Lepisosteus oculatus: one gene and its partners. The protein of the gene in region 2 interacts with the protein of the main gene of each other region in a pairwise test. Links are inferred from orthologs where the notes say so. Each region holds a gene or a part of one and is shown on either strand. Other genes may lie near its edges.

Region 1 (6,995 bases), on a different chromosome or scaffold from region 2:
AAAGGAAACAAGACGCATACGGAGCTTGTTAAATCTGGCAAAGAAAGCTTTGATTAAACATTTTCCCAGAGACACAGTGTAAAACTGGCTTAAAAAAAAAACAAAACGCCATTTCCTACCAGCTGTTACTACCCGTCCGCCACTGCAAGACTTACAGGCAAGGAAGGAAAAGCAGTCGCTGTTTAATTTCATTAGTAATGTTCATTAAGACCTGTATGTCAGCTACAAAACACAAACTTGAGCACGGAGCAGCTGTCACTAAAAACTATGAATTCAATAACATGAAAATCCTCACTTTAAAAAGATGTCTTTTTTTTTCGCCGTTTTCCTTGCACCAAAGACCAGCAGATCTATAAAATATTCACGGAGCTAAAACCCGCACTAGAAACATTTGAATAAAACGCGTTCGGACACAAGAGTGACAGATTCACAGTTTAGTTGTCTTAATGCAGCGCTAACTCCACTGTGTTCTTTCTTCAGCTCCATTGCTGGAGATGGTAATTAAGCAATTACAACGCCCCAAAGACACCATATCATAAGAGTACAGCCAGCACTCCTCTTAAAAAGAGAGCTCATCCCACCGACAGCTCCAAATGAAAGAATATTTCATGCTTCTGTGGGCAGATGTAAAACAAATGTGAGAACTCTGAAAGGTACACATATTACAGAAAAGAGAAGGACGGTATAGCAGAATTGGTTAGAAAAGAAAGAGCAGTTAAAGAAATGCCCAGTTACTCCAACAATGTAATGATTAATTCAAAGCACAAAGCGTTGACTGACACTGGTCAGTATGAATTGACAACACACTGCAAGCAGCATTCTTTCCTGTTCTTATCAATTACATGAACTGGATGACAAAAGCAATAAAAAGGCTCACAACCCTAGCAAGCATAAAAACAACGACCTCTCTAGCATGTACGCGTAATCCAGTCTGCTTGCATACTTTTGTTGGCGTCTGTCCGTTAACAAAGAGCAGAAAAACGGCTTGAGTTGACAGACACTGATAGCATCAGTACAGTAATTAAGCGCGGCTGCAAGATTAATTCCGCTAAATCAAATGTAGTACTATTGAGGACCATTACGGTGCAAAAACGGAGCTTCTGTAGAAGGGCTAATGACATGGAATTAAAAATGATTCCCTTTATCTCATCAAGATCGTAGGGTTAGTGTTAAGGGCCTACTGTTATAATAAAAAAAAGACTTTGTTTTATTCTCGTTTATTAGGAATAGATCGACTCAAACGTGGCGATACATCCTAGTCCATGACAACATTTGGCCGATAAGACCGACTCTGCTCCGCGGCCACGGCGCACTGACTGCGCCCGGAGACAGCGAAGCTCCGCGCCGGGGAGATGCTGTTCGGGCACAGGGAGGCTGAAAGACTCTTGACGGGGCAACACAGACCCGCCACCAGTCAGTTGTCAGCCACATTACAGCCCCGCAAGGCACAAACCTGAGCCCACACGGGCAACAGGATACACACGCCACCGCCAATCCATACAGTGCGTCCACGTCTTCAGAGCAGGTCAGCGCAACACAACGACGCAAAAAAAAAAAACACACCACCAAACTCGGGAATATATATATATATTGCATCCGCGTACCTGAATTCTAGGGTCGACTTCTTCTTCTTCTGCTGCTGCTTCCTCCTCTTCTTCTTCTTCATCCGGCGACTCAATCTCTTCGTCTGATTTGGGTCCCTTTTCCACGCTGTCCATTTTGCTGAATGCAGTAATGTCTTTTCCCTTTCCCCAGGTCGGAAACTGGGGAGGCTGAGGTCGTTCTCCAAGCGCCGCCGCGACCACTCTGGTTCCCTCCACACCACTTCAGCAATAAGGCATATGGGGAAAAGATATCTTTAAACACAAACGCAAGGAGTTAAGGATTAGCTGAGGTCTGCAACATTCAAAACCCTCAAGGAAGCTGAAACACAGGAGGTGCCCCTTTCTCCGGACAAACTGGCTTGAAATAAGAACCTGAGCGCTCCGCCTATCCCCGCCCCCCTTTCCAGATTTTGCTAGGCAATCCCCGAGATGGACGTACAGAAATATTGTAATTTTCCTGCCGGGCTCTTATTTGGCTCCGCGAATCGAAGGGAACGGCGCACGACGCAGGAAGCAAGCCGCCGTCCTCCGTGTCATCTGCGGCCCCGCACGGTGTGGCGACGCCCGCTGCGCTCCGACTTGATCCAGAAGGCTTCCCCTCTCGTCTCCGGATCCTTCTGCCGGCCCCCCCCTCCCTCCAAGCACACAAAAGCGATGGCGATGAAATCGGAAAAAAACGATTAACCCTTTCGACCGGGCCGGCCGCCTATTGTAATTAATGGATGTCCTCCCTGTTTTGCTATGCTGTTAATAATCGGATCGCGCACTCCTCTCCGTTTACATCTCAGCGCAAATCACATGGCAATAAACTGCTATATTAAGCACGCAGAGGTCCCAACTAATCCTGCAGTACCTGTCTTCCGCTCTCTTGAGTTATAGTACACACTGCAGTAATTACAGCAGTCATGTCCTGTAATCTCACTGACAGGGGGGTTACTAAACCCCACGGATAGGAGAGAGTTGAAGCCGACGTTCCCCAAGTTTTCTCCAGAGGAAAAGAGTGGTCTGTCTCTCCCTAGCGGTCGGTAGACGGAGCACATCTGAAACCTAAATTAAGCAATGACGGAAGGGCTTTATTGTGAACTGGCGTTGCGCAATTGCTCTGTAATGCTGTTGGTCTTATACTGTACACCGGTATAGGAAAAAATGAAAAGCTGAGTATAGAAAAGAAGAGTGTATAAAACAGCAGCCTCCTCCTGATTGCTGTTATTGCTCTATTCAGTTTGTTTTATTTTGGTCTCGTATCTCTGGTGTGTAGCAAACATAATGATATAAATTACCTGAAGAAGGCTTCTCAGCCGAAACGTTGTGTTTTCTCTCTTCCCTTTTCAGCATGGAATAAACCTGTTACTTGTTCCTTGGCAGACTACGCACGCTGACGCAGCTCCCCATCTGAACTGATCATATAAATGACTCCCTGAACTCTGAATTCAATACTGTTAAGTCATGACGTTCAACATACTGGATGGGAGAGTTTGTTTACAATCTCTGGTGCTGTCCTGAAGAGGTTCCGGTCATACCCTGCCTCTTGTTACACGGTGATCTTCTTGTTTCTCTTGGGTTTACTTCTGAGGCTGTTAGGTCTGGCGCTTCACAGGGTTCAACACCAGGCGCTCTGCTATTTCAGTACTTATTCGGTATTATTTGCTATTCAGTATTAACCTGTACATTACAGTTTCTCCTTGGTGCAATACTAAAATTACGTTGTCAGAATTGCATTTCTATGAAGATGACAGTCAAATTAATGTCCACATTAAAGCCAAAATAGTTGTTTCAGCACTCTACTCATTTCTGGTGCCAATTTGCTGTTACAACTGCCATATTGCTCTCTCTTATCTACTAACCCCACTGTTACACACTCTCCTATCTACTAACCCCACGGTTACACACTCTCCTATCACTAACACCACTCTTATATGGCACAATATTCACACGTAATTCTGTATCTCTACCGTTCTGTGTTGTCAAGAGCGGTTCTGAAATAGGAGGCACACCAGGCCACATCATTAAAGACCCCTCTGGGAGCATTTGACCCACAGATCCTAGAGATAGGGGTAGGATTGTGATGAAAAAGTATGAAGTTTAAGCAGCTGTGGATAGCCGTAGAGAGCTTTTATCAGGCAAAAACAGAGAACTTTGGAAACCTGAAAAAGTCTGATCCGAATAGGTGGTTTTATTAAAATTGTGGGAGTACTGGTTAGAGCCCCTGGTTTGTAATTAGGAATTACATCCAGGAATTAAATCAAATCCCAGATGATGCACTGCTGTAATACAGTACAAAATACAATTTTTCAATTTTCCTCCAGGGCCACTGTGCTGTCAATTTATACCAAACATCTCTTCCTCTTAATAAGGCTCTTTTTGTTGTTGGGATTATTTGGTAACCAAGGAAACAATAATGGGCGTAATGTGTTCTTCATCCAAGGACAGGCAAAATGTTTTTTTATTTGGTGAGCTCTTAGATCAGTTACAAAAGCTGGGTACAGATTTCTGTGAATAGTGCTGGAATCCGCCACTGTCTACGCAGAAAACCCATGACCTCAGATTAATGTGTCATGATCATGGAGGCAACGCCTTCTCCCTGCAGCTGTGCCGTGAGCTTCTGGCGCAGAGAGACCTGCTTTAGTCAGCAGCTCCCTTGTTCACCACGAACTTCAAGCCCTGCTTGCACTGAGTGGTCCTGCTGCACACTTGGCTGGACCACACTTTTCTCCCCGACTAGACCCCAGACTTTCAGCTCAGCTCACACAGCCCGCAGCTACAACCTCTTTACCTGAGACGACAAATCTGAGGGCAGGACAAGGGCCAGACTGAAAGTTTGTGTACCTCTGCTGAAGGTCCCTAAAGTGGCAGCAAAGCAATTTGATTTGATGTCATACTGGACTTGTTCTCCAACAAATCCCGATACAACAGGATGTAAAGCATTCCAACTCCCCACCTCTTCCTTCCCTACTTTCCTACACGATCTACTGTACTTCCGGCATAAACGTACTTCAGTCTCCACCACAAGCTCACGTTCGATTTTCTGGTTGAATCTGTGAGCTGGATCAATTACTGTACACATCCGAAAACGGTCCATTCCCAATCACTTCCTATCCCTACAAAAAGTTCACCAATAATTTGCTTGTGTATGTAACAGAGTGTGTTGATTCTTGTGCCAACGGTAGGTAGGCAATTTCCATATTTGAGCTGCAGGGGCGCATCAGGGCGGAGCTCATCCTGGTTTCTGGAGGGTTAAGCAGAGTAGAGCAAGAGCAAGTGACATCCCCCAGGACGGGAGAGAAAATCAGGGATTACTCCCAGCAGTGCCAGTCCCCCATTTACACAGCTGGGCGGGCTGGAGCCACTGGGGTACAGTGCCTCTCTCAGGGGTACAGCAGCACTGTCTGCATGAGTACTGGCACTTACCCACTGGGCTTCCCACTCAGAGTCCAAGACAGCCATTCAAAATGAAGACTGAAACTGACAGGTTGTGTGGGGCTTCATTTCAACTTTAGACCATGGAAATGATTTTCTAAACTGGACTCATACAGTCAACCAGGCAACTAAAAACACATGTTTCAGCGTCTCCTGCCGCCTGGGAGTAATATGCCCTGCTCCTTCTCTCAGCTTTCATACTCCCGTCCTGTAATGCACATCCTCTAAAGGAATATCGAACTGGCCTTGCATCCGAAACCTGTCTGAACAGGAAGGACATAATCGAGGATGTGACATTTCACTGCGAGCAAGAGGCACCAGTGGTGCCAGACAGGACGACAGGACTAGACGCGTCCCAAAAAAAGCCCTATCCCGGGCTCTGGAGGCATGACAGCCAGACCACGAGTTACTGGGAAGGAAAACGCACATCACAAACACCACAGCTCGGGCACACAGAATTCCTTGTGGATATCACCAGGAAGGAAAAAGGTGTGTGCTGAGATTTAGAGTTCAAGGATGAGAATATATAAAGTACCTTTCTGCCTGGACAAAGATGACCCACACCTTGCCTTGTTTTCTGCAGATACTTGTAGCACATCAAATAACCTAAAAAATGCTAAAAACATCATTGAACATCAAAATTCGATATCGACAGAGCAGAGTTTGCTGGAGCAATCTGGACTCTAGGGATCTGAACCCCTGTCCCAGCCGTCAGGAGAACACAGTTCTAACCATTACTCCACACTGCATTCTTTTACAGCATCTGTGGAAACACCTTAGCCCTGTAATCTTCCAGACTGGCTCAACAGTGTGCTGGAAGATCCGTGAGATGTTTAATCCTCTTATCCTTGCTTTTTTTTTTATTTAACAAAAACAGTACAGTGGAAACACGATACACATGTTTCATTACAGGTCTTTGCATACACATCAAAAGATAATTTAAATAGAGAATTCTTCTTTCCGAGATAAAATCACTTGAGCTGTGAAAACCTTAAGGCTCCCTTCCACAAGCAGGTAAAGTGTTGTATTTAAAATGGACATGAAATCCTATGCTGGTCAGAAGAATGAGATCGGTTAGAATTCTGCCAAGAAATTCACAAATAAAATCCCTCCTGGGTTTTTTCAGATACAAAGTCTTTTCTTTCCGAGTAGCAGCATCACCATCAGGCTGTTTGTCAGAGTGGCTTCTTGAATTTGCCTTGAAGAAAAACTCTTGGGACACAAAGCCCCTCTCTCTTGTTGACAGTTTCTCTGAGGACGTACTCGTTCACCAGGGTCTCGTAACCCACCGCTGTAAACAGATCCTCCAGGAACTCTAGACAGAAAAGTACAAGGAACAAAATAAAAGGCAGGTTTTACACACTATAAAACATCACATATAGAGAAAGCCTTTCATTCTTTCTATTTTTATATAACTATGTATGTAGTAGTTATAGCTATACAGTACAGCAAATTTGTTTTGTGTTTATGTCTTTTTTGTATAAATCCTATCTTGCCCCTGCTTAGGCTTGGCTACTAAAATGTGTTTTAATTTTTTTTAGAGAACCTGAAGTTGAAAGGGTGACAGAACAGCATCGATGGCTTGAGAATGTCTGCTACTCACCTTTAGAAAAGAAGAACGATCTGGTACCATCTTGCCTCACATAGAAGTTCTCTCCAAGCTTGCTCCCGGATTTAAACCTCAACATGGCGTGATCGTGCAGTCCGTAGTCCCTGAACAAGACAGTGCCCCCTGGTTTCAAGACCTGCCCACCCCGATGAAGAAAAACAAAACAAAATATCATATTGTCTTACAGCGTGGAACTTTGACATTATAGAGGACTTTGTGTTGATGAGTGGCAAAAAGTCTTAGTTAAATACATCATGGTTCCATGCTGTAACACAATAAAACGTAAAAAAGTCCAAGGGGGGTGAATACTTTTGCAAGGCACTGTATATGGAGAAGATTTAATGGAGAAAGATTCTAGCTTGAGC
Region 2 (7,667 bases):
GCATTCAATAAAAGAAAAACAGTGCATGAAAATTAAGTTATAAGGGCGTTTTGCTCTCTTTCAATTAATTTTGCTGTATACCCACCCAACATGGAAATGCCAATTGTGCATTTCTCAGGTCTTGGCATAGCAACTGCACACAAGGGAGAATAAGGAGTAGCAGGCAGTTTCTTCCCTACCTTAGGATCAGAGCTGACTGCATGATCTGTTAGAGACAGCCACACAAGTCTGCATGTCCCTGGAACACCACAGGGGCTACCAAAGAACTTCCAAGAGCTCTGGGCAGCTAATCCCAACCTTACGCTTACCAGCTGTGAGTCAACTGTGCTCCATCACTTGGGAAATCCTGGTCTCAGATGGTTAATGACATCTCGATCCAAAGATACCTAGGTTTTAGAACTCAATCTGCACCTATGCAAACCCCTTTACTGGTTGAGCACCCTTAACACTGTGCTTTTGACCATTAAAGCCAATCTGGTAACGAAAACTGCCAAATATAACATTAGTGCAGCACAGAGAATGCATGAGTGTTGTTACACAAACTACTGGATGTGATAACTGATGACAGATGTTAACAGAAGCATGAGGGATGCTCTTTTACGTATTATAGTTTTGCATGCTTACACATTTATGAAGCTTTATCTTAAATAACAGCCATTTTCTAAGTGTTGCTTCCAATTCAGGGTTACAGGGGAGCCAGAGCCTATCCCAACAAGGAACGGGTGAAAAGGTAGGGTAAATTTTGGATGGCACGCCAGTCCAACACAGGCCGGACAGACAAAAAAATAGACATGTACCCATGCACGTACACCAGGACTAATATTCCTAAGTTCACCTACTAGTATGTTTTTAGATTGTGGGAGCAAACTGGAGCAACCGGAGGCAACCCACAAGAACAGGGAGTTAACATAAAAAGCCCATGTAGATATCACTCCAGGTCTGGAATAGACCCCAGGGCCCCCAGAACTGCAAGGCAGCAATGCTAACCTCTGGGCCACTATACTGTTCTATTTTAGATAACATATTTTCTAAAAACATTTAAATGATTACATGCGAACGTTTGAAAACATATTTAAAAGTTTCCGCAGGAGGACAACCAAATTGATTAAAATGTGAGGCAGAGTGGTCTCAAGACTGTTCCAATTCCAGCAGATGAGAAGATGATCAGGACACCTGGTGTCAGCGAAGTGGTGTCAGGGCTAGTGACACATTCTATGACATGCTAAAGGGCGTTGTCAAATGGCTTGCTGCTGTTCGTTTTTTAATCAGAACGTTAGTATTGCTATACTAGAGAAGGAAAAGCACTAGAGGTACTCCAAGTTCCTGGTCATCGTGCTACTAACTGGTATGATTAGCTCAGCATTGCCAATCATTAGTTTTTCACTGCAATGGGCATGGAAGCCAGAGTTCCTAGAGTAAAACCATGTGAACACAGGTAGCATTCAAAACATGCTCACATAATGTGCCCTAATACAAAATCCAACCCAGAACCTTAAGGCTAAGCCTCAGCTGTGTTAAGTGCTAACTGCAGTGCTAGGTTAGCTAAGCTAAATGCTAACTGCTACACCACCCTGCCTCCAATTTGGCAGTGCTCCTCCACAGATGCAGATGTCTGCAGGCCACCGAAACTGACCTTCACAACACTAAAGGGTGCACAAGTAGAACAAGCATTTAGCTGAAATTACATAAAAATAGCTTTTTTTAAAATAATGTGCCTATAAGACCTCACACCCGCAGAAGGCTACAGAAGCCAAAAACATTGTGTTTCCTTTCTTTCTTTTCAGCATGGAATAAACCTTTAACTTGTTCCTTTAAGACCTTTTAGAAGTGTTTTTTTGGAATTCTTACAGACGACACCTACCATCGCAAGTGGGAAAAAGCTATTACAACCTACTGTACTCTTACAGCAAAGCATTCGATATTAAAAAACCCTGAGTGAATCAAACAAGAATACGTTGGTGTTAGAATCAAAGATTTAACCCTACAGTGCTACTCCAGCTCATGAAAGCCTGTACTCACCATCGGGCTTTGCATTGTTTTGCAGACTTTCTGTGCAACAGTGAGGCAATCCGAGACCATTGGTTTTTGCCATATTTCATAACCGCTGCTTTAAGGATTTCATCCTAAAATTAAAGGAACAGGATGCATTTTTAGGCTCATTTCTTTACGAGATAATATACGTAAGACAAATTTAAGCTTGACACTACTGGCAAATGTTATACCTGATGTACAAAAACAAAAAAGAACTGTTAATATTAGCTGTTTTTTTTCTCCAAATGGTTAAACAAATTAAATGTTTTAACAAATCGGAAATGATTAAAGTAGCTAACAGAAAACTCGTGGTCAGCAGTAGATCAAACAACATTTCATCAGCATGTTTTAGTTAACTTACGTTGCTGTTATCGTACAGTACTATAACGTGGCTAGGTCTCCGCTAGAACCAACATCATCATAGTATTTTTACTATGTTTTCTCAACACAATTGCAGTTTATTGGATACCCTTACAACACACTTAATTTAAGATATAAAGAAATAAATCAAACGTTTTGGAATTACATAACATGCCACAATTCAACGAAAAGCACAAAATAGGTAAAGCTGACATAGTTGCACATCACTGAACTTAGGCCATGAATTTTGCGAGCAAAAGGTAAGTATTGGCAGTAGCTAGATGCAACTCATGAAACATGATCAAATCACAGGCAAACAGGAAAATCATTCTAATTTATGTTATCCCGATAGAAGAATAAAAATTACACATAACTACAATCTGTACTTCAATGTTTTCATTTGCCATGCCAAGCTATAAAATAAGGCCGTTACATTACCTCGGTATTTCGCCACACACCACCTTTGATCATAATACGCGGCATGTTTAAAGTTAAATGTTAATATTTCAAGCTCCTGGAAAGAAAAATAAAATAAAACAAAAATAAAAGATTCAAAGATATACTATCCACAGAACGATCGTGCTGCACAGTTTCAATATGGCTCCTCAAGATAATGCGCCTCACCATGGTAATCTCAAGAAAAGACAATAGCTACAGCTCCCCTTCTGGACTGGATGTATTAAAACAGCCTTCTAAAGTTGCAGTGTAGAGCACCCGGTAAAATTAACAGTAAATGCGCTAAGTAGTATGCATTCTCTTTTAATTCTGTTTTAATGTAGCTTCAGTTATGATAATTTGGGAGATGAAAAAGTATCCCAAGAACGTAACCTCTTAGCGTAACTGCTAGCATACACATCTCATAAAAGTGCTGAAATTAATTCAGATGATTCGAAATGATATAATTTTGCTGACATCTCATGTAGAGGAGAAATATAAAAATGTATACCTTAACGTTATTTTTGGAGATATGTGGTACAAGACGCATATTATAATATATTAGAATATGTGAGAAAATTATTTCCCGTGTATAAATTAATATTTTTACCTTTTTATAAGAGGGGAGCGTGGGTCCAGTTCCAGACATGGGGTGCCATCTGCGTGACGTTTATATGTGATTCCAGTGTTTGTGCAAGTTTCTGCTGGGTGCTCCAGTTTCCTCTCACAGTCTAAAGACACAGTGGTAGGTTAATTGACTTCTGGGAAAACTTCTGGGATGCATCACATCCAGGGTGTACTCCCACCTTGCGCCCATTGCATACCGGCATTGTCTCTGTCTCCACCGCCCCCTGAATTAGACAAAGTGATTAGAAATTCAGTGGATTGATTTTATAAACTGACATATTTCATGTGCACTTGAATCCTTTACCACAAGTAACAGAGTTTTCCAAAATACCGGAGAGAATAAAAAGCTGGAGAAAAAGGAAACAAGTCCTCTTCCAGATGAGGTTACTGTTTAGAATAAAATGTCAAATAATCCTTCTACAAGATTTATCTAAATGAAAAAGAGAAACAGAAAGGGAAAAACTATATACAGTACTAGAGTACAGTATAATGAATGCCCCTTGGAGATACAATGCTTTCTCAAAGCCTTAAGGATGAAATATTTTCTGCCATACCTCAGTGCCAGATCAATGCCCCAGCAAGTGCAAGGTGATATCTGAAATAAAGCTAACTGCTGTTGTCACCTAACAGTAAGAAATCAAGTTTTATTATAAAATAACATATTCCATTATGGTATGTCTGCCCAATTTCCATTCAGTTTGGGCTTTGGAATGTTATTTACAATTATCTGTGAGACCATGTGCATGTTTTTAACAAATCTAATTACAACACAAAGTTCAATGGTTCATCCATCACAAACAGGCAGTCAGATCCAGGGCATCTGATAATCAGATATAAGACATATAATAAGTGCTATAATATAAAATACACATAAAATAATTCCGGTGGGTAGCTGCGTCAGCATGCGTAGGCTGCAAAGGAACAAGTAATAGGTTTATTCCATGCTGAAAAAAAGAAGAAAGAGAACACAACGTTTCGGCCGTGGAGTATAAAACATATAAAATAGTTACAGTACATGTTTTAACTATTATGTTGCAAGATTATCGTGTCTTGCAGAAATATTGATCAAAACCTTCTAATATGAAATTTGATTAATTAAAAAAGTATAGGTATGTGACTTTTTATAAATGAACTTACAGTAGAATTCCTGTCATATAAAACATATAAAATAGTTACAGTACATGTTTTAACTATTATGTGCAAGATTATCGTGTCTTGCAGAAATATTGATCAAAACCTTCTAACATGAAATTTTGATTAATTAAAAAAGTATAGGTATGTGACTTTTTATAAATGAACTTACAGTAATTTGCAGTATGATCTAAGTAGTATCTGGGTGGTATGATGCACACTATACTTCTTAATGTTGGAATTCACTGAACTAAAAGCGATAAGTAACCTTCTTCTAGTCTGTGACTCTCCATCATTTTATCTCTTTGGTCTTTTTTCTCAATTGCTTATATCACTACGAGACACATGACATTAAATTCAATATCCACCTAAGGGGACTTGCAGAAACAAAGATATTTACTCCAAAGTCATGTTAAACCTCTTTGATTATGCATAGACAGAGAATATTACACCATTTTTGAGACCTATCAAATATATTTATTTTCACCTGAAAAATCTTCACATGAAAAAGCTTCAGCAACTTTAGAGTTGCAGTTGAAAAGAGGATGAATACTTAAGCAATTGAGAATCTACTGACTGTCTTCAGAATCTACATATCATCAGCATTTTTTTAGATCTCTCAGTTTGGAGCAGATTATAAATATAAACTCCAATTTGAAAGTGTCATGATTGCAAGCTCAGAAAAAGTGGGAATTTTACTGAGGGTTAATTCTTTTACAAGACACTGTATAGACAGTGGGAAAGGGAAAGACCTATATGAAGTATATATAGTGAGGTAATTGTCCTTATAATGGCAGTGTGATGGTTACTGCTGGTGCTTCACTGCTCTAGGTATCCTGTCTTTAATTCTAGGCTAGGGTGTGTTCTGTGTGGAGTTTGCATGTTCTCAACCTGTTCTTGGGTCCCTTGTTTCCACCCTCTGTGGCCTGCAGACCATTTCTATGAGAAAGAGCTTTTTTTCTCAATAACTTCTAGTACTGTGACTATCTCAATGTAGTATGGATAAGGTTCAGGTGAATTATAGTGGCAATACTTTGCATGAGTACATTACTGAAACATCCGTATATCCGTATCCGTAACATAGTATTTTAGTGTTCCACCTTTTTTCCACACATTAATATTTGCTTAACTTTAGAATGACTTTGCCTATCTAGTATGTAACCCACTGGAAAAATGAATCGAAGGACATTTACATTCCCAGACTAGGTGGCAGTAGCACGGGGAGTGAAACGCCAACCATGGTTGGCTAAGCAGCTCTTCCGCTCTGTTAGCAGCCGCGACAGGTATCGCGCCGATTCTGCGCAGACGTGAACTCTGAGGGATGTGAGGAAGTGTGAGTGTAGTTAGCTTTACTTCAATTTACTCACAGTTGTATCGATTCATATTTGATATCTTCCCCTCGCAACAACTTGGAAGAATTCTGAGCAGTTAAGGCTTGTGGTAAAAAAAATAATTTAATAAATATGCAGCATTCGTTTTATAATTTAGCATGCCCACGTGAAGTACTGTAGGGTTGTAAGACTTAGTAGCCTGAATTTAAAAGGTAGGTAGTTAAGTCGGTGTTTCTGACTCAAATGTATTTTTTTTCTGTGCAACGAATCGTGTTAAAAAAGGTTTTGAAGAAAAAATAAGTTTCTCTTGTTCATTTTGTGATTTAATGTTTACTCCATAGTTGTATTCAAATGAGTAGATCCAGTTAAAGGCGTTGAAATATTAAATACGTTAGTTTGTTTTTATCTTATCGCTACAGTATGTATATGATTTTGTAGACTACTCTGCAGTGAAAGCGAAATGAACCCGTCTTTTCTGGTGCAGGAGTGGAGAGTTATGCGTTACCCCGGTGAACAGAGATTTGTTGTTCCTCTGGATTTCCTTCGTATCTAAAAGAAACAAAAGTAAGATGGAATAGCACAACTGTGAAGCATGCTATATATTGTATTTGTTTGCGCAGGGTGATGTCATGCACCGTTTTTATGCACAAAAGCATCTCAGTGGTATGTGTCTTACCATGCTTTGTTGCTGCTGTTATTTAATCTACATCGTATACTCGATATTTCGTTCCACTGTATACTTGTATATGGCTGGTATGACAAATAAACGTGAACTTGATACTGTATGTAGAGTAAGCGAGGGACTACGGAAGAAATCATAATTATAGATTGTGTAGTTTCATTGATAATCAATTTATACAGTTAATTTAGGGTAGAGCTCAAAATAAAAAAAATAAAAAATAAAAGCTCAACATTTATTGGTATCAGTTGTGTTACTGCAGGAAACGTGTTTATACAGAGTATGTATGGTTTGAAAAATATTGCCAAAGCCTCAGCTACTCATTCACTTTTAAGTGCCTACAAACTGCAAAAGAAAGCATACAGGTACAATTCACAATCTAAACAATGCAAGTTCACAGCACCAGTGTTTCGTGAATAAATTATACAACCACATTAAAACATTGTCAGACAGCTATTTTACCATTTAACTACTAATTTGCATTAGATACATTTACAAGAATATTAATTTTTAGTTGTGCGTAGCTGTTTAGTATGTTTACAGCTAAGTTTTAAGTTTAAACAATACACCTGATGGGAGTGTTTTGTCTTTTTTTAGGAATGTAAGACAGTGGCTGGATAAGTATGAATGCCATTCCAGATATACATTTCATGAAAGTTTGGAGTGAAGATGGACAGTGAACAGAAAGGCAATGTCCAGCTCTTCACTGGTAAGTCTGTAGAAGTAAAGACCTTTTATTGAGCAGTGGGCAGTGCTTGATCACATGAAACTTACAGTGCCTTGCGAAAGTATTCGGCCCCCTTGAACTTTTCAACCTTTTGCCACATTTCAGGCTTCAAACATAAAGATATAATTTTTTTATTTTATGTGAAGAATCACCAACAAGTGGGACACAATTGTGAAGTGGAACGAAATCTATTGGATTTTTGAAACTTTTTTAACTAATAAAAAAATGAAAAGTGGGGCGTGCAAAATTATTCGGCCCCTTTACTTTCAGTGCAGCAAACTCACTCCAGAAGTTCAGCGAGGATCTCTGAATGATCCAATGTTGTCCTAAATGACTGATGGTGATA
Region 3 (8,008 bases), on a different chromosome or scaffold from region 2:
TACTGTATTTATTAACTTCTCAAAAAAATAAATAAATATTGACTTAAGGAAGACAAGATTTAATTTCAACAACACTGCCTACATTATAACAAACTGAAATAGACTTGACCAGCATATAAACGTTAATATAGTGTCCTGTCTTTAAAGATTTAGTGGAACTAATCAGTCAACAAAACATTGAAAAATATAGGCTCAATCTCAAAACCATCTGTTTTTTTCACAGAATTGAGAAACCAGACTCTTTAAAGAGAGTTAACGTTCATGTAAAGTACAAGAAAACTGTTAAGTGAACATTTCAGGAGAAAAAAATTGTTCCATTTTGTAAAGTTTATTGGTCTGAGAACTCTTCCTCTGTCCTGTTGTAGTGCAGAATGCGGTCATCCAGCCCATAGTGATCTATAAGCTGTGTGAGACTAAGCTGTCTCCCATCAGTGCAGAAGGCTGACTTTAGCTCATATAGTACTGCCTGGCTGCTGCCTCTCCACTTGTTGATTAGAAACTGTAGCTTATCCAGGTCATTCTGGAAAGAAAAATACAATATGGCCTGTAAATACTTCCATTTTCTGAAGTGTAGAAAATGCACCAGATCTGTTGAGGTTTTTCCTCAGCTTCTACAGAGATTTATCATGTCACCATAACTTGAATTCCTCTCACTTGAAATTGATTTTTCATTCTAAACATAAAAAAAGACATTTTCAGCTAATTCACACTGCAAGAAATAAAACGGACAATATTTCCATGGTACTCAATTTGCATAATCCAGTACCATGGAAATATTTTCCAAGTTTTATTTGCAATTTGCATAGTTATTACTACAGAACCGGCACAGATAAATATCACAAAATGTCCTGAAGTTTTCTTTTTTAGTTCCAATTCTCAATTACAGTTCATTTAAAATGCAATAATACTCTAGTGTTATAGTAGTTAGCTGAGTCAGCGTGCGTAAGCTGCAAAGGAACAAGTAAAGGTTTATTCCATGCTGAAAAGACAAGAAACACAATGTTTCGGCTGTGGCGCCTTCTTTGGGTGCCCTCACCTGAAGAAGGCTCCACAGCCAAAACGTTATAGTCTTATAGCATATTTTAATGTCATGTTTTCAGTCATGTAATTACATGACTTCACACAATGAGAAAGTACATCCGCTCACTGTTCAATTTACAGCACAGTACATCGGAGGATATCTGACATATTGCTTGAGATACCTTTGTTCTGTACATTCTAACCATCTTCAGTCTCCGCAGCATTTCCTCCTTTTCTCCGACTTCTTTCTTTAGCCTGTCTCTCAGCTGAAGCAGATCTATCTGTGCGGGAGGATCAGCTCTTTCTCTGGAGGAACTGCTCTGTGCTGCTTCGTTTCCACTCTCTGTGCCGGTTCTGCACACATCCCACTGTCTGGAAGTATCGGTCACCTCCGGGCTCTCCCAAGGCCTCCCTTTATTAATGCTGAGTGTGTTCCCGCCGGCACTGTCCAGGTCACGTTCGGACTTTGGAGACACTTCCTGCACCTTCGAGTCGTCCTCTGCCTCGGGTGGATCTATTTTAAGCCGTTTTGCCACCGTAAATGGGGAATGAAAAGAGCGCCTTGTTCTTTTCAGTCTTTCTTTCAGTGAAGCACTCATCGGCTAAAACCAGAACAGAAACAACCTCAGGTTGCATTCGGTTAGTCAGCGCTGTTGAAAAACATTAAAGGCAGACATCGTTTCGGAAAAGAACGCAGTGAATAAATATTATTTACAAGACGTGTCAAAATAAACAACAGTGTGGGACCTACTGTATAAATACTTAGCCAGTTGTTCAAGAGTCTTTCAGCAGTGCGTTCTGACAAGAAGACCTACAAACTGACCAATATATTAAAGGATTGAGGAGGGCTGGTTCAAATGTAATTTAAACAGACTATTTAAAACAGCTACCTCTGAAAATCCAGAGGTAAAATGGATTTAAATGGATCACAATGGCACAACATACAGACTCACTCTATAATAACCAGTAAGATGTGAGACCTTTCTGTCTCAGTATTGATCTATGTAAGCTTTTAGAATAATTGAAATGGATGTTACACAAAGGAGTGACACCAATTAAAGTAAATAGTGGTTTGCCTTTAAACCTACATTGACATGTAGCCACAATTCTGTTTCTGGGACAATAAAGTTGGTGGAAACAGCTCTACCAATACCTCAGCCATGGCAGTGTGACAGTGTAAGGAGCATAGAGTCTCATAGGAAGAGTTTAAAACCGCACACGTCTGTCTAGGTCTGGCACCTGTTTGACACTGAGGCCATGGGGTGTGGAATTCAAGGTGCTGTCTGGCGTGCAGAACACAGGCTTTGTTTTCCTTGTGTTTGGTGTCTCCATGCTGAGCTGTACAAGATTACCTAAAAAAAGCAAATGTCAAATAATAAGATTGCTTACAATACCACAGTTGACAATCAAAGCCTCACTTAATAACCCAAGTTGTTGTACAAAATATCACGACATGATCTATCTCCAGGAAACCTTGCAGGTAGTTCGCGAATAAACCTAGAAATTATCTTGTTCTACCTGAAGTACTGACATTAATTACGTAAGATGGTACTCGCCTTACATACAAAATGTTTTACACTAAGATTATAAACACGCACCTCATCTTAATATAATTTACCTCTTGCTATCTCCCCTCGAATGCCCTTCTTATTAATTGTAATTCAAGGTAATATAAATATAATATAAACTGGTTTATGTAAATAAGTGCTATTATACGTTTTTAATATTTCTTTTTTAACTTGCGTTCTTACTCGTTAAGACACCAGCAGCTGTGCTTCTCCTTGGGAAACAGGATAGTTGTCTGCATATTCTTCACGATCAATGGAGTACAAAGTCGATATTATCACAAACTATACGTACAGTACTATTCATATATTGATTTAGTGAATATATAATCAGAAATGTCACATTTTATCCGTGACACTAATAATCCAAAACACAAGCCCAACACTTGACTGTTTATCCGAAGGTAACTTCCTTCAAATTAGCCGCTACTTCCCGGTGTTGAGGGAACGCATGCGCCAAATACCACTGCTCTGTGGTAATTGTAGTTTTAATTTGAAAAGTTTGGCGCAGATTAGACTACACAGAAACTGATTTTACTTTCTTCTTTCGAACATTTCACCACAATTATAATATTTGTAATTATTTATTACATTTGTATGGTTTTCAGTTTCGAATGTTGATAAACGTCTAATGTTTTAGTAGCTGGTGGCTTTATTAATTGGTAAAATGTATTTTACAGATTTGAAAGGACAAATATGTGTAGAACAGACGTTGGTTTATCCTGCCAGTAAACGCACTTCTCATTGAAAACTGTTTCGGGCAAATATTCTCATTAAAAAAAGAAAAATAAAATAACATAATTTTATCAAAGCTTAAATGCAATGTATTTATCGATTATTTAACATTTTAATAATTATACAGATTTAGTAAAAGAGCAAACATTTCCTACTCTCCATAAAGCTTTTCTCCTTATCTTGAATATTAAAATTAAAATTAAAATTAAAATTGTCATTAAAATAACATTAATCTCAATGCACCTGTGGTTCGTTAGGGTTAAGATAACAAGCCATCCCTTGAGTGAGAAAATACAAGAATTACAATATCTGACAATACAGTGAAGCGACCTGATTTATGACAGCATCCAACCGGAAATATTTTTGGTCCACAATTTGAGTGCCCTTTATCAAAAAAAGAGGTTCATTGTTTCATGATTGTGCCTCACAAAATGCAATACGGTTGTTACCCAAACATTGCTACCAAGACCATCCACATAATCTTTATAAGGGAAATACAGTAGTACTTTATGGTATCTTTATATGCTGCATTATTATAGATCACTTTAAACTGAATTATGTACTGTAAAAATCATTTAGTTTTACGTCACAATTGCGTCTTTGGTTAAAAAAGTATTGGAATGCATTTTTATTCTTGAACGTTTTAAAAAATAGAAATTCGATAAAAATATAATTAAAACAAAAAACAATTTCAAGGGATTCCTACACAGCAGCCATATCACTCTGCAACTCACAGCTGGCAGCCCCCTAAAGCTAAGCAGGTGTGAACCTGGTCAGTACCTGGATGGGAGAGCTCCTGGGAAAAACTAAGGTTGCTGCTGGAAGCGGTATTAGTGGGGCCAGAAGGGTGCGCTCACTCTGTGGCCCATGTGGGTCCTAATGCCCCAGTAAGTGATGGGGACTTCTTCGGATGAGACGTAAAACCTAGGTCCTGACTCTCAGTGGTCATTAAAAATCCCAGGGTGTTTCTTGAAAAGAATAGGGGTGTTAACTGGTGTCCTGACCAAATTTGCCTTTGGCCCTTACCAGTCATGGCTTCCTAATAATCCTATTTATAAATTGGCTTCATTACTCTGCTCTCCTCTCCACTGATCGCTGATGTGTGGTGAGCGTTCTGGCATCACTATGGCTGCCGTCGCATCATCCAGGTGGGGCTGCACATTGGTGGTGGCGGAGGGGAGTCCCCATTACCTGTAAAGCTTTTTGAATGGTGTGTCCAGAAAAGCACTATATAAGTGTAAGCAGTTATTATTATTATTATTATTACACTTTTTAAATTTTTAAAAATTTTGATTCCATGCTATTTCAATGCACAGAGTGGTTATTTAGTTATGGGCCCTATTACATCAAGAACTAAAATAAAGGCAAAATCTGAACATGTTGAAAATTAAAACGCATTCCACAGGTATTTCTTTAAAGGGAAAATATTGGACTTCTTAATTAGTGCTCTGTAGCTGGAAAACTCTCAGAAGCATTATCTTCAAAATTCAAAATTGATGAGAATTACAAAAGAGGGACATTTATTTCACGGTGTCAACCATAACTGGTCCAGCGTTAGCAATTTTTCTTAAAGTAAAATATATGTTCAAATAATATGGGCCTTATTAAAACACATGTTTTGTATACTGTATGTATATGATTATTACCTAGAAAATAGTAAAAAATTAAGGAATAAGATCAATTTTATAGCTCCCAAGTTTCTCAGTTTCTTGTGCTCGTAACTTTTGTGAATCGATGGGAGAGGGAGACTTGTTGCCTGTTCTTTGCCTTGAGTGACTTTTTGCTTTTTGCTGCATGCCAAAAGATTTACACCCTGTGTGTCTCACAATGATAGTGTGCTGTATTCCTGTGGTACAGTCAGTGTTTTTTTCATACCCTGCAGGAGAAAGGTGGGGATCGGAACCTTGCCCTGCCTTGACTTGAATTTCATAGTTTGAACACACTCATTTTACCTACAGTACCTCGGGTGTCTGATTTTATTGTTTTTATTCATTTTCCTTTTAAAACCAGCTTGAATGTAGCTTTGTGTATTTTATGGTGTGTTGCACGTACAGTACCAATTAATGCATGTTTTAAGTGTGAACATAGATAGGCTGTTTATGAGGCTATCAAGTAGTATGAGGATTTAGAATTCCCACCTGCTAGTGTTTGGTGGCCTATTGAACTAGCCACTTCATATTAGTGAAGTATACAGAGACAGATCAGCTGTTACATTTGACAAAAATTACCTGTGTCATCACAACTGATGGCCTGACAGTTATGTCCATTAAGTATTATGTGCTGCAGCACCTCCTGACTTGAATCTTGTCAGATTCTGACAGAATCTTTTCACAAACAAGTAAAGCTTTATCAGTTTTCCTTTGAAAAGTTGATATGGTCAGTTGAGAAACATGACCCATCACGCCCATCACTACTACTCAAAAGGTTTTGAGCCACTTCATCTCAGACTTCAGTTTTACTCCATATGCTACATTTTATATTTTAAATCCAGCTAGTACCAGTAAGATACTGTAAGACTTTTATCTCCTTGTTGCCTTCGTCTTTCAAGCTCTTCGTTTAAAGGTACCCTGTGTTGTGGGATTGGTTTGAGGGCTTCAAAAATGCTTGCTTGGAGTTTTCTAGTTTATGACTGTAATACAAAAAAAAAGGTGTTCATGCATGTAGACTCCTACTGTTCACTCTAAAACAATGAGTCATCTTTGTGTGATGAATGGAAAGTGAAGCACTTGAATGCAAGGTTCCAGTTCACTGTTTTGTTTTCATTCCTGGTCAGGCTCAGTGAAACTGAATGGACATATTTCACCCATCTGCAGAAGCAGCCTGGTTATACCATAGTCATACTTCCTTCAAGTGTTTTATATCATATGTAGCTAATGTGAAATCTGCTAATGAATGGAACAACAAATCATAAAAGTACATAAAACGTTGTATATGTACTGATCACATGTATGATGTATGTACTGTATACTGAGTGCAGCGACTTTATGCACAGTATTTACATTCCTTTGGTGGGGACATGGTACTTGTACAGCATTAGTGTTAGAGCAGAAAAAATTGAGAAGTTATACTATTCTTCAGTTTATTTATTTTTATATTTGCATATTATGCTTTTACATTTGCAAGTAAGTTTACATTTACATTTATATTTTAACAGGTACTGTGCAACACAACAGATAACGTTCATTAATTACTGTACATCAAATAAATGAAATGTGAACAGTATTTCTCTCCTAACAATACTGAGATAGTCTCCGAAATGTGGTCTTTTAAAAAATTAGAGGGTGAGCAAAGGATGAAGGTAACATGGAATTCATGAACTGTTGACAGCAAAGCTTCTTTGCAAAGTAGTATTACACAAACCGGGTTAGAAATTGTGAATCAGGTGAAAATAGGACAAACAGCTGAAAAAAAATTGTCAGATGAAATGTGAAAGCTTTCTTCTTACTGAACTGTAAATTCCAAGTCCTGGTATTCAGTACCTGCTCTTACAAGTTTTATTTCAGCTCCTGTCTAGTAAAAGAACAGCAAGGTTGACATAAATAATAATTTCACCCGAAGACACTTGAAGTCACAGCTTGCCAGATATGAATACCAAACCCTGAAAGCACTGCTGTGTAAATCTTTATTAAAAAAATTAAAGCAATGATTTCTTCAGCTACCAATTTGTTTTTTAAACCTTTTAAGTGTAAATTGCCTCTCTTCCTGTAAGTATAAAAATCTAATTAGATTATTCACCTAATTAAATATTAAGTTCTCCATCTGTACAGGATGGTTTGATCATGACTTGTCAGTTGTGGACTTGTGTAATGTTGGCACGCGATTTTGACAAGTTGATATATGCAGATGATGGGGTGTTGGACACCACTTGAAGTGATGGAGGTGTTATTAAAGGCAAGGCATCCACTCGCCAGAAGCTAGTGCCTCTTAGCATTGGGAGGAACTAAACCAGAAGATACAGGCACTCCAGGATGTAAGAACCATTCCAGGAATGAAATGATGAAGATGCTGCAAGGTTTTATTGTCTCCCACACAAACTGCTTTGGGGAAACGATGTGGGCTGTTCACAACATTCAAGGACACCAGTCTGCTTTCTGCCCTGATCATGCAGTCTAGGTTTCATTAAAACAATCCAATGCTGTGAAGACTTAGAACATGGATAACATGGATATAAATGTGATTCCTTATTTTGCAGTTAGTTCTTGTTTATAAAAGAAAAAAATAATGTGAAAATTGTTGCAAATCTATTTTTCTTACCTCTTAACATTTGTGTTATAATTGTATATCGTGCAACTAGATTAAAGTTTATGGCAGAAACTGCAAGCACAATACAGTTTATAGTACAGACATGCTCATTTTCTAAGTGAAGTGTGAATTTAAGCAATTTGCATAGACATGATAGAAGGTTTTGCAGACTTCAAAGCTCACAGATCAACAGACTGTTCATTTTAAAGTCAAGGCTTAGCCTCAGACTGTGTGTGGTATGGAATGATTAAGAGTGTTATAGCCCAGTATCATGCCTTCTGGTCTAATAGGAGCTCAGGTCCATTGTCAGTGGGTAACGTCCTGTTACCCTGAACTGCAACAGGACAAGATATTGTGAGAATCAGGTGGCCATATGACGTAAGTTAATGTACGTTTGGTCTGCCATCCTATTGGCTATTCAGTGTCTTTAAGTGAAGCAATGTTTT
Region 4 (7,169 bases), on a different chromosome or scaffold from region 2:
CCACGGTGAGTCCTATTGCACATACCAAGGTTTTGCAGGAGCAGATGTCGTTTATTCATCAGTATGATTCCAGGAAGTTACAAAACCAACCTTATCAGGGAAAGGTAAGGAATTTGGCATTGTATATTTAGAAAAGCCTGGATAAGGAATTCTGTTCATAAAATGTCAATACCTTAACCAGAACCACAAGCATGACTGTAATTTTCGTTTTTTTCTTCTTTAAACCTAAATTGTTTCCAACAAGCAGTGGGTTAGTAGCTGTAGTTGGCACATCTGTCATATACAATATATGATTTAATCTAGACTTTCTTTACTATATTAATGCTACTTACTGTATATGACCTTAAGTGCATTAGAATTTGGACTTGTGAGTCACACCTCCGTGAATTTTGAAGTGTCTGATACAGACATTGCATACCTATGCTAATGGTTATTATTCTAAAATAATAATCCTTTCCTTTTTGAATCTTAACAATACGCTATTGTAGTAGTAGCACTCACACTTAAAAAGGAGTCTTCAAGGCTTGAAATGAGAGGACTGTTTTAATTGTGTCGAAGCTCGGTTCATTTCAACTGGAGAAAAAACAATTATAGTCCATTCATTTTAATTGCCAGTGTGTTGGTAGAAGCAGGGTTGCCTTGACGACGTTTGAAAACTTGAGTTTCCACATGCGTTCACATTCTTCTTTTACTCTCCATAGGAAAAGGCTGCACGTTGTTTCTTGGCCTGTGATCCTTAGCCTCGATACTTTTAGATCATTTCAGCCTCTTCTCGACTCTCTAGCTCCTGTACCTGTGATCAAACCATAGCAGATGTTGTAGGTCTCCTCACATCATCACAAAACCTCTGGATTAGGAATAGATTATCTAAATTAAGACTGAATCTGACCAATTTAACTCTTCTTCACCAATGATTTAAGGAGATTTGGGGAAACCTGCTCTATGGTTAAACTCCTTGAGCCTACTTGGCTTCTTTTACAGTAGTTCAGGTGGGGAGCTGTGTCAGCATGCATAGTCTGCAAAGGAACAAGTAATAGGTTTATTCCCTGCTGAAAAGAGAAGAAAGAAAACACAACGTTTTCGGCCTTCCCAAAGAAGGCTCCACAGCCAAAACGTTGTCTTTTCTTTCTTCTCTTTTCAGAATGGAATAAACCTATTACTTGTTCTTTTAAATGTATCTGTTTCCATTGCATACTGACATCACACTGTCAATTATTGCAAACCATCATTGAGAACTGGACCAAATCAAATGCTCAGCTCACCTGCCAGTCACAAGGTACAGACCCATTGCTTGAAAGAGGATTTTCCTCAGTGAACATGAAAGAAGCCTCATGCAAAGAAAATTGATTTTCCAAGTAGTGGATGTGTACTTGGAGTAGTACAGAGGCATGCCTTTTCCTTGGGCAATTGATTCATGACAATGGTTTTCTTTTTTAATTTTGCTTTCTGGTTTTTATATTTGCTCATCTGGCAGTGGTTTCATTTGTCAAAGAATGGTTCTAAAAAAAGTATACTACATGTAAATTATTATTTTATTGCAGGTGAAAGAGTAAACCTGGTTTCTATTATAATGAAACTTCTCTGGGAGATGACCTTTACCTTCATGTTTGCGATATTCATACCCCATTTCCGATGAGCTAAAGAGGTATCTCAGATGTTGCAGCATCATGTTGTGATCTTGACTCATGGTATTTTAGATTTCCTTAAGACAACATCCAGCCGTTTCTGATTCATATAGAAAAATCGATTATAATTCAGTTTTCAGAGCTCGAGTGGTTCGGTTTTAAAAAACAAAAACGAATAAAAAGTCTGTATCCATAGAAACCTTATGTGCGGGGGATGAAATGGAATGGGACTCCAGCACAAATGCAATGGAAGGCAGATGCATTCGTGTGATAAATGTTGAAGGGCCTTAAAGTGCAGGAAAGTCCCTCCTCCCCTCTCTTTTTGCGTTTGGTTTACTGCCTCTGTTCAGGTTTTCCTCCCATACATCCATTCCATGAATAGCGTGGCGTGACAGAATAGCCATTATTCGCTGCTGCCCCCACAACTACCCACCCTCTCTCAGGCTTACCGCCAGTGGAGTGGGAGAGGGACGCAAGTGGAAACCTGCCAGCCCTTGAACTCAGAAATGAACTCAGGCACAGCTGCGCGGCTCAGGCCCGCTCACTCTTCCCTGGTTAACTTCAAGCTTGTTTCCCTTTCCAGCGCCACGGAGCCTTTGTGTGGACAGAGATAAAGCCGGCGAGCAAGCCGAGGGCTCCCGGCGGAGCAGACGCATTCCTGACTGCTGAGAGGTCGCGCTGTGTACCGGCGCAGCAGAAGGCCCAGGGAGGAAGCCGGATGACCTCACCAGAGCTGGTCTCGCAGCATCCTCGGCAGATGTCGGACGCTGGAGCTGGCTTCTCTAAAGGGGGCCTGGAAGAGGCCACCCGGGCCTATCCCAGAATTCCAGCCCGAGAGAAAACGAGGCAAGGCGTTCCGCAGACAGCTGGACTGGACAGCGTTCCTTCCAAAAAGGAGGCGGTTCCCTCTCAGGGAACTCCAGCTGCTCCTCGAGAGAAATTCCAGGACCGGACCGACAGCACATATACCAACTTTAGTGCTGTACCCAAAGCTGCTGCAGTAATCAAGCAGCCTTTAGCTGATGCACAAGTGGGCCTGCTTGATCCAAGCGCTGACAATAACCCCAGACACCAGCTGACACCAGTAGGGAGTTAGCTTGAACAGTGGAAGCATTTTGATGGCAGCAGCTGCACTCCCCTTTGATCTGACATATTAGATTGTATCGATCTGGCTGCTGTATTAGGCTGCATTATTCTGTCCTTGATTGTTTTCCTAACATCTGTGTGCTTATTAAAATGTTAGTGCATGTACATTCAGCATCTTAAGAGAAGGGTTAAAGTTGTTCCTGTAAACAGTTGTGTAATGTACTGTAATGCAGAAAATCTTGTTTTAAATCAGGAAAGCATCTATCTTATGCATTAGGATGGAAAACCTCACATTTTGTTATGTGCATGGCTTATTCCAGAAAGCATGCATAGTAGCAGTTGGAAACAGTTTGTTGATTTTGGATTTTTTTTTGCTTCTTTCTCAGTATGGTTTTTCTGCTATTTGGTTTGCAGTAATTAGATTTGCTTTACAGCAGATGGTCTGTGGCTCTGCTCTGGCCCTGGAAGTACTCCTGCACTTGTATGCTGCTGTTGACAATGTTTTGAATCGGCTTCAGCACTGTCAACCAGAGTAGCTGGAACAATAACCATGCGGGCTGGGCAGGGCAGCAGCTAAGTTAAGTACAGAGGAAGTACACATGAGATGACTTCAAGGGGGCTTCTTGTAACCATGGAAACCGAGCCATGCTGAGATAACCAACTGTGTGGCTGCATGGATTAAAACTGTTATTTTTAATTTTCCAAAGAAATCTTGTGAAGTGGAAAACAGATGATTTTAGGTACAACAAGAATTGAACAGTATGCAAGATAAGGAAAGACATCATGTTGGGCAAGATATCAGCTTATAAAACAAGACTGGTGATTGCAGAAGGAGAAGTAGCAAGTGAGTCAAGGTTATGAGCATACTTCATGCATCATAACTTCAGAGTCGTGTGTGGCAATACAAGATTATATTCTAGCTGTAAAATCATCTGTCCTCTCATCTGGCCACCTGGTTTTTTTTTTATAACAATCTGATATTGCACAGTCATTTTCTGAATCCGAATAAAAGCCATACCTTCACCGTGTGGCGTGTGTGTAACATGATCAAATATGCCATTGACCTGCGCCAGGTAGCGACCTGAAGAGACTGAATGTAACCTCGTCGACTGTTCTGCTGCTCAGGAAGATGTTTACCAGCTTGAGGAGAGCTGGAGCCAGGAACCAGGCGAATCACTTCTCTTAGCGATGTTATTATTAACTATCCTGAAAAATTGCCACGTTTATATAGATATGTGTAGCAGCAGTCAAGGCCCGTTGCCTGGAAACGACATTGACTTGTAATCAGACACAATCTGCTTCTGCACCTCCATCCCATACTCTGTTTCCCTGCTCCTCACTGCTCATGTAACTAACTGGCTTGCGCGAAAGCGGGGACTGATTTTTTTTTCTTGGTTCGAGCGTGAGCGCTAGTGTGCTGTTATCTCTCCGCCCCTCTGTGAATCAGTGCAGCAGTTGGCTTTTGCTGGTGTAGCAGAGGAGGCAGTGCGGATTCCTGTAGTCACTCCCTGCGATTCACATCCAGCCTCCCTGCTTGCGTTTGCGCGTATCGTGGGCTTTTCTAGGTGCTGGACATTATCGTGTGTTCCTTGGTGGGTAAGTATCGCTCGCCGCTTTTATGGTAAATAAAAAAGGTTTGCGCATTGGTCGGCTCTCCGCTGGTGGGGTTGGAAACAATGCAGACCCACACCTTCGTTAAGAACAGACCGACTGCCGTAAACATTGCTACTGCTGAGTTAAAAATGGCTTTACTGTATGATGCTGTTAGTTACGCAGGAACAAACGGGAGACTTCGAAGGGAGCGCAGCTTTCCGTTTATCGATTGAAAAATCGCACAAATGTGCGAACTTGCACGGATTCTTTGCCGCAGAAAATAGGATACAGCGCCAGGTCCGAGCTTGCAGTTTCGAATTTCGTGTTTTTTCCCCTCTTTCCCCTTTGGGTTTTCCAGAAAATGAAGTCGCTTTATTTCTCAAGCGCGAGAGACGCGTAACGGCGGTGCACCGGCGTGCTCATTTTCGTCCGATTTTGCGGTGTTTGCGGTGTTATTTTGACGTTTTTGTAGGCACGCAGGATCAGCCGACACCACGGCAACATGGACGTTTTCCTACCAGGTTGGGATTATAACGGTACAGTATAGTAAGGATGGAAACAGGCGTGGTCGTGCGGATCTGATTGCTGAGCTAGGAGGCACCGTGTGTGTCGCGGTTAAGCAGCTTGCTTCGGTAATTCAGTAGGTAACAGCTATTTTGTGACGATATTTGGAAATGCGTGGGTTCCCCACGATTCCTCGCCGTATTTTGAGGTGAAATAATTCGACTTCGAGTGTTTGTTGAGTCAGTTGTCGTAATACGATTAGTTTTCAGAAGAACTGCAGCCCCTTTTCGAGCTCTGCCAGGTTGTGTTGGTGCCTCGCACACGCACAGGTGTGTTTTCCAGTGTGCAGGATGCTGGCGCGGCGTTCGCGTTCTGCGGTGTTTTTTTCCTGCGAGGTACAGCTCGCAGTGCGCTTTAAAATATTAATGTAGCAACGCGCGGCGTTAGATCGGGAGGGTTGCCTTCGAAGGTGCATTGAAACTATCGGATCAGGTCTGAGTGAGCGAGGCTGAAGAGCACCCTGCGACCTAAATTAGTCACCTTCGTAGGTAAGCACTTTCCACAGGTTGCTCGTTCTCCCCGGGGACTCTGAAACACCCCGCCCATCTGGGTCAACATTTCTTGCAGAGCGCTGTGCTGGTATAACGTATTCTCGGATAAAAACCCAGTTCCTTCTGGGTTTGAATTCGGAGGCGTTGCTGCTGCTGCGTGATGCCGTATTTATGGTTTTTTTTTTCTTCCCCGGCAGTGCAGGAGGAGGTGTGCTGAGTAAAACGTTGCAATACTGCAGCTCCAATGCGGTCAGATGGAGTCCAGCCTGCGGCTCCTGAGCCTTTATCTGACGCTACGGGCAGCACTGGGGTGGGGTTATACGCGAGCTACGTTAGGGTGCAGATGCGTGGGATTTTTGGTGGGGAAAAAAGGCAAGAACTCGTCAGCGATCAACGAAATATATAACCGCGCACATAAATTTCTGTTGAAAAACACGGGCTTTGGCCTCATTGAGATTGAAAAGAGCAGTAACACTGACCTGCTCTCGGCCGGTTCGAAGGGCAGCTGTGAACCGGGGTATATCGATGGGAGTGCCGTGTCAGCGTGGAAGCGTTTGCTTTTTATACTGCTTCATAAAATGTATATCTCACCCAAACTCACTAGCGCAGTTGAGGCCTCGGGAATGGCGTGTTGTGCTGGATAGGAAGGGGAAACGTTAAAAGACTGCATGAATGTAGCTGCACCTGTTTCTTTGTGACATGACTGTGCCAGCAGTTTGCCGGTCCCCGAGTGGAACGTGGAACTGACCTTCAGGATTTCGCGACTCTGTACCCGCCGCGGTCAGCACGCTGCACATAGTCGTTGTTAGGAGAAAAACAAATCAATTCTTCAAAATGGAGATGCAGGAGCAGCAGGGCTCAACGTCGGCCGGAGAGGAAAGGCTTGTTTTAAAGTGTCTCGCAGGTGGTGTGCTTGTCCGACGTGCGAGGTCTGAGATGAGTGAATGGGAGTCCTCTGTGTCAGGTTCTTCAACTAGGCACTAGAGAGGTTTGCAAAGCGTGTTGTCAGCCGAAGCTACTCTGAGCTTTTTCCTTGGGCACCTAGACACACGACTAGCTGGAGATGCACGAGTGTTGAACCCCTCAAAGGGGTATTTCCGAAACCTTGCAAGGGTCAGTTCATTTCCACTTGGGTGACTTGCAGTTTGAATGTCAACTCTGATGTTCTGGGACACCCACCCAGCCGTCCACCTACAGCAGAAGGGAGTTTTGTTTCTGCCTGCATGTCGCCTTTATAATAGTTGTGTCCAAGGTCTATTGCATTATACTGTACATATTAATGCTGTTTATAAAAGGATTGACACACATTGAAACAAATATGTACAGTTTGTGCACCAGCTGTAAGACTGTGGGAAGCTGACTAGGCTCAATTTTTGGACAGGCTTTAAAAAGGAATTTACAGAATAAAAATCATTTGATCCATGTTGACAAAGTAACAAGAATGGAGGATAATTATGTCTAAAGTTTTTGATGGATGTAAACATGTTTTACATACATTTATTGTGGAAGCACGAAAGACTATAGTAAGTCTTGGACCTTGTTTTTCAAAGAGAAAGACCTATTGTCATTCGATTCAGCGTGAACACTTGGTATTTTTACACTTTTCTCCCTGCCTGTAAACATACTGTATTGACCAGCCTTGTTCATCAACAGTATGTGTTGATATATGTAGGTCAGGAGTGAACCATGAAAAACCTTTTCAGCTGAGACTCTCTCATTTAAAATAGGGGGCAGATTCAGCTGCTGTTAGGTTTAACACTGATGTTGTACATCTGGGATAATTAGAAGTAAAACCTCAGGGTCTCCAAAC

What was found.
Region 1: the proteins of cdc5l (region 2) and sh3bp5a interact in a two-hybrid assay, tested with the Homo sapiens proteins (2 studies listed by BioGRID and IntAct). The link is inferred for Lepisosteus oculatus from reciprocal best matches to the Homo sapiens genes CDC5L and SH3BP5.
Region 3: the proteins of cdc5l (region 2) and sfr1 interact in a two-hybrid assay, tested with the Homo sapiens proteins (2 studies listed by BioGRID and IntAct). The link is inferred for Lepisosteus oculatus from reciprocal best matches to the Homo sapiens genes CDC5L and SFR1.
Region 4: the proteins of cdc5l (region 2) and sptbn1 interact in binary tests that used the Homo sapiens proteins (3 or more experiments, as listed by UniProt). The link is inferred for Lepisosteus oculatus from reciprocal best matches to the Homo sapiens genes CDC5L and SPTBN1.

Annotation. Positions count from the first base shown.
Region 1 is NC_090705.1:41,678,580-41,685,574, reverse strand, and holds the start of sh3bp5a (SH3 domain-binding protein 5), read right to left. Parts: upstream 3,018-6,995; 5' UTR 2,885-3,017; intron 2,610-2,884; exon of another isoform or gene 2,458-2,609; intron 2,448-2,457; exon of another isoform or gene 2,044-2,447; intron 1,857-2,043; exon of another isoform or gene 1,825-1,856; 5' UTR 1,719-1,824; coding exon 1,605-1,718; intron 1-1,604. Other genes in the region: tRNA N(3)-methylcytidine methyltransferase METTL6, read right to left, coding at 6,197-6,336, 6,625-6,766. UniProt on the Homo sapiens protein: Functions as a guanine nucleotide exchange factor (GEF) with specificity for RAB11A and RAB25. Inhibits the auto- and transphosphorylation activity of BTK. Plays a negative regulatory role in BTK-related cytoplasmic signaling in B-cells.
Region 2 is NC_090697.1:56,000,844-56,008,510, reverse strand, and holds the start of cdc5l (cell division cycle 5-like protein), read right to left. Parts: upstream 3,010-7,667; 5' UTR 2,875-3,009; coding exon 2,830-2,874; intron 2,124-2,829; coding exon 2,020-2,123; intron 1-2,019. Other genes in the region: zinc finger protein 260-like, read left to right, coding at 7,264-7,303.
Region 3 is NC_090699.1:36,349,642-36,357,649, forward strand, and holds sfr1 (swi5-dependent recombination DNA repair protein 1 homolog), read right to left. Parts: upstream 3,004-8,008; 5' UTR 2,772-3,003; intron 2,373-2,771; 5' UTR 2,353-2,372; coding exon 2,260-2,352; intron 2,253-2,259; exon of another isoform or gene 2,183-2,252; coding exon of another isoform or gene 2,174-2,182; intron 1,623-2,173; coding exon 1,203-1,622; intron 521-1,202; coding exon 329-520; 3' UTR 310-328; downstream 1-309. UniProt on the Homo sapiens protein: Component of the SWI5-SFR1 complex, a complex required for double-strand break repair via homologous recombination. Acts as a transcriptional modulator for ESR1.
Region 4 is NC_090712.1:3,063,302-3,070,470, forward strand, and holds the start of sptbn1 (spectrin beta chain, non-erythrocytic 1), read left to right. Parts: upstream 1-4,154; 5' UTR 4,155-4,307; intron 4,308-4,885; exon of another isoform or gene 4,886-4,944; intron 4,945-7,169. Other genes in the region: uncharacterized protein C2orf73, read left to right, coding at 1-104, 2,209-2,721. UniProt on the Homo sapiens protein: Fodrin, which seems to be involved in secretion, interacts with calmodulin in a calcium-dependent manner and is thus candidate for the calcium-dependent movement of the cytoskeleton at the membrane.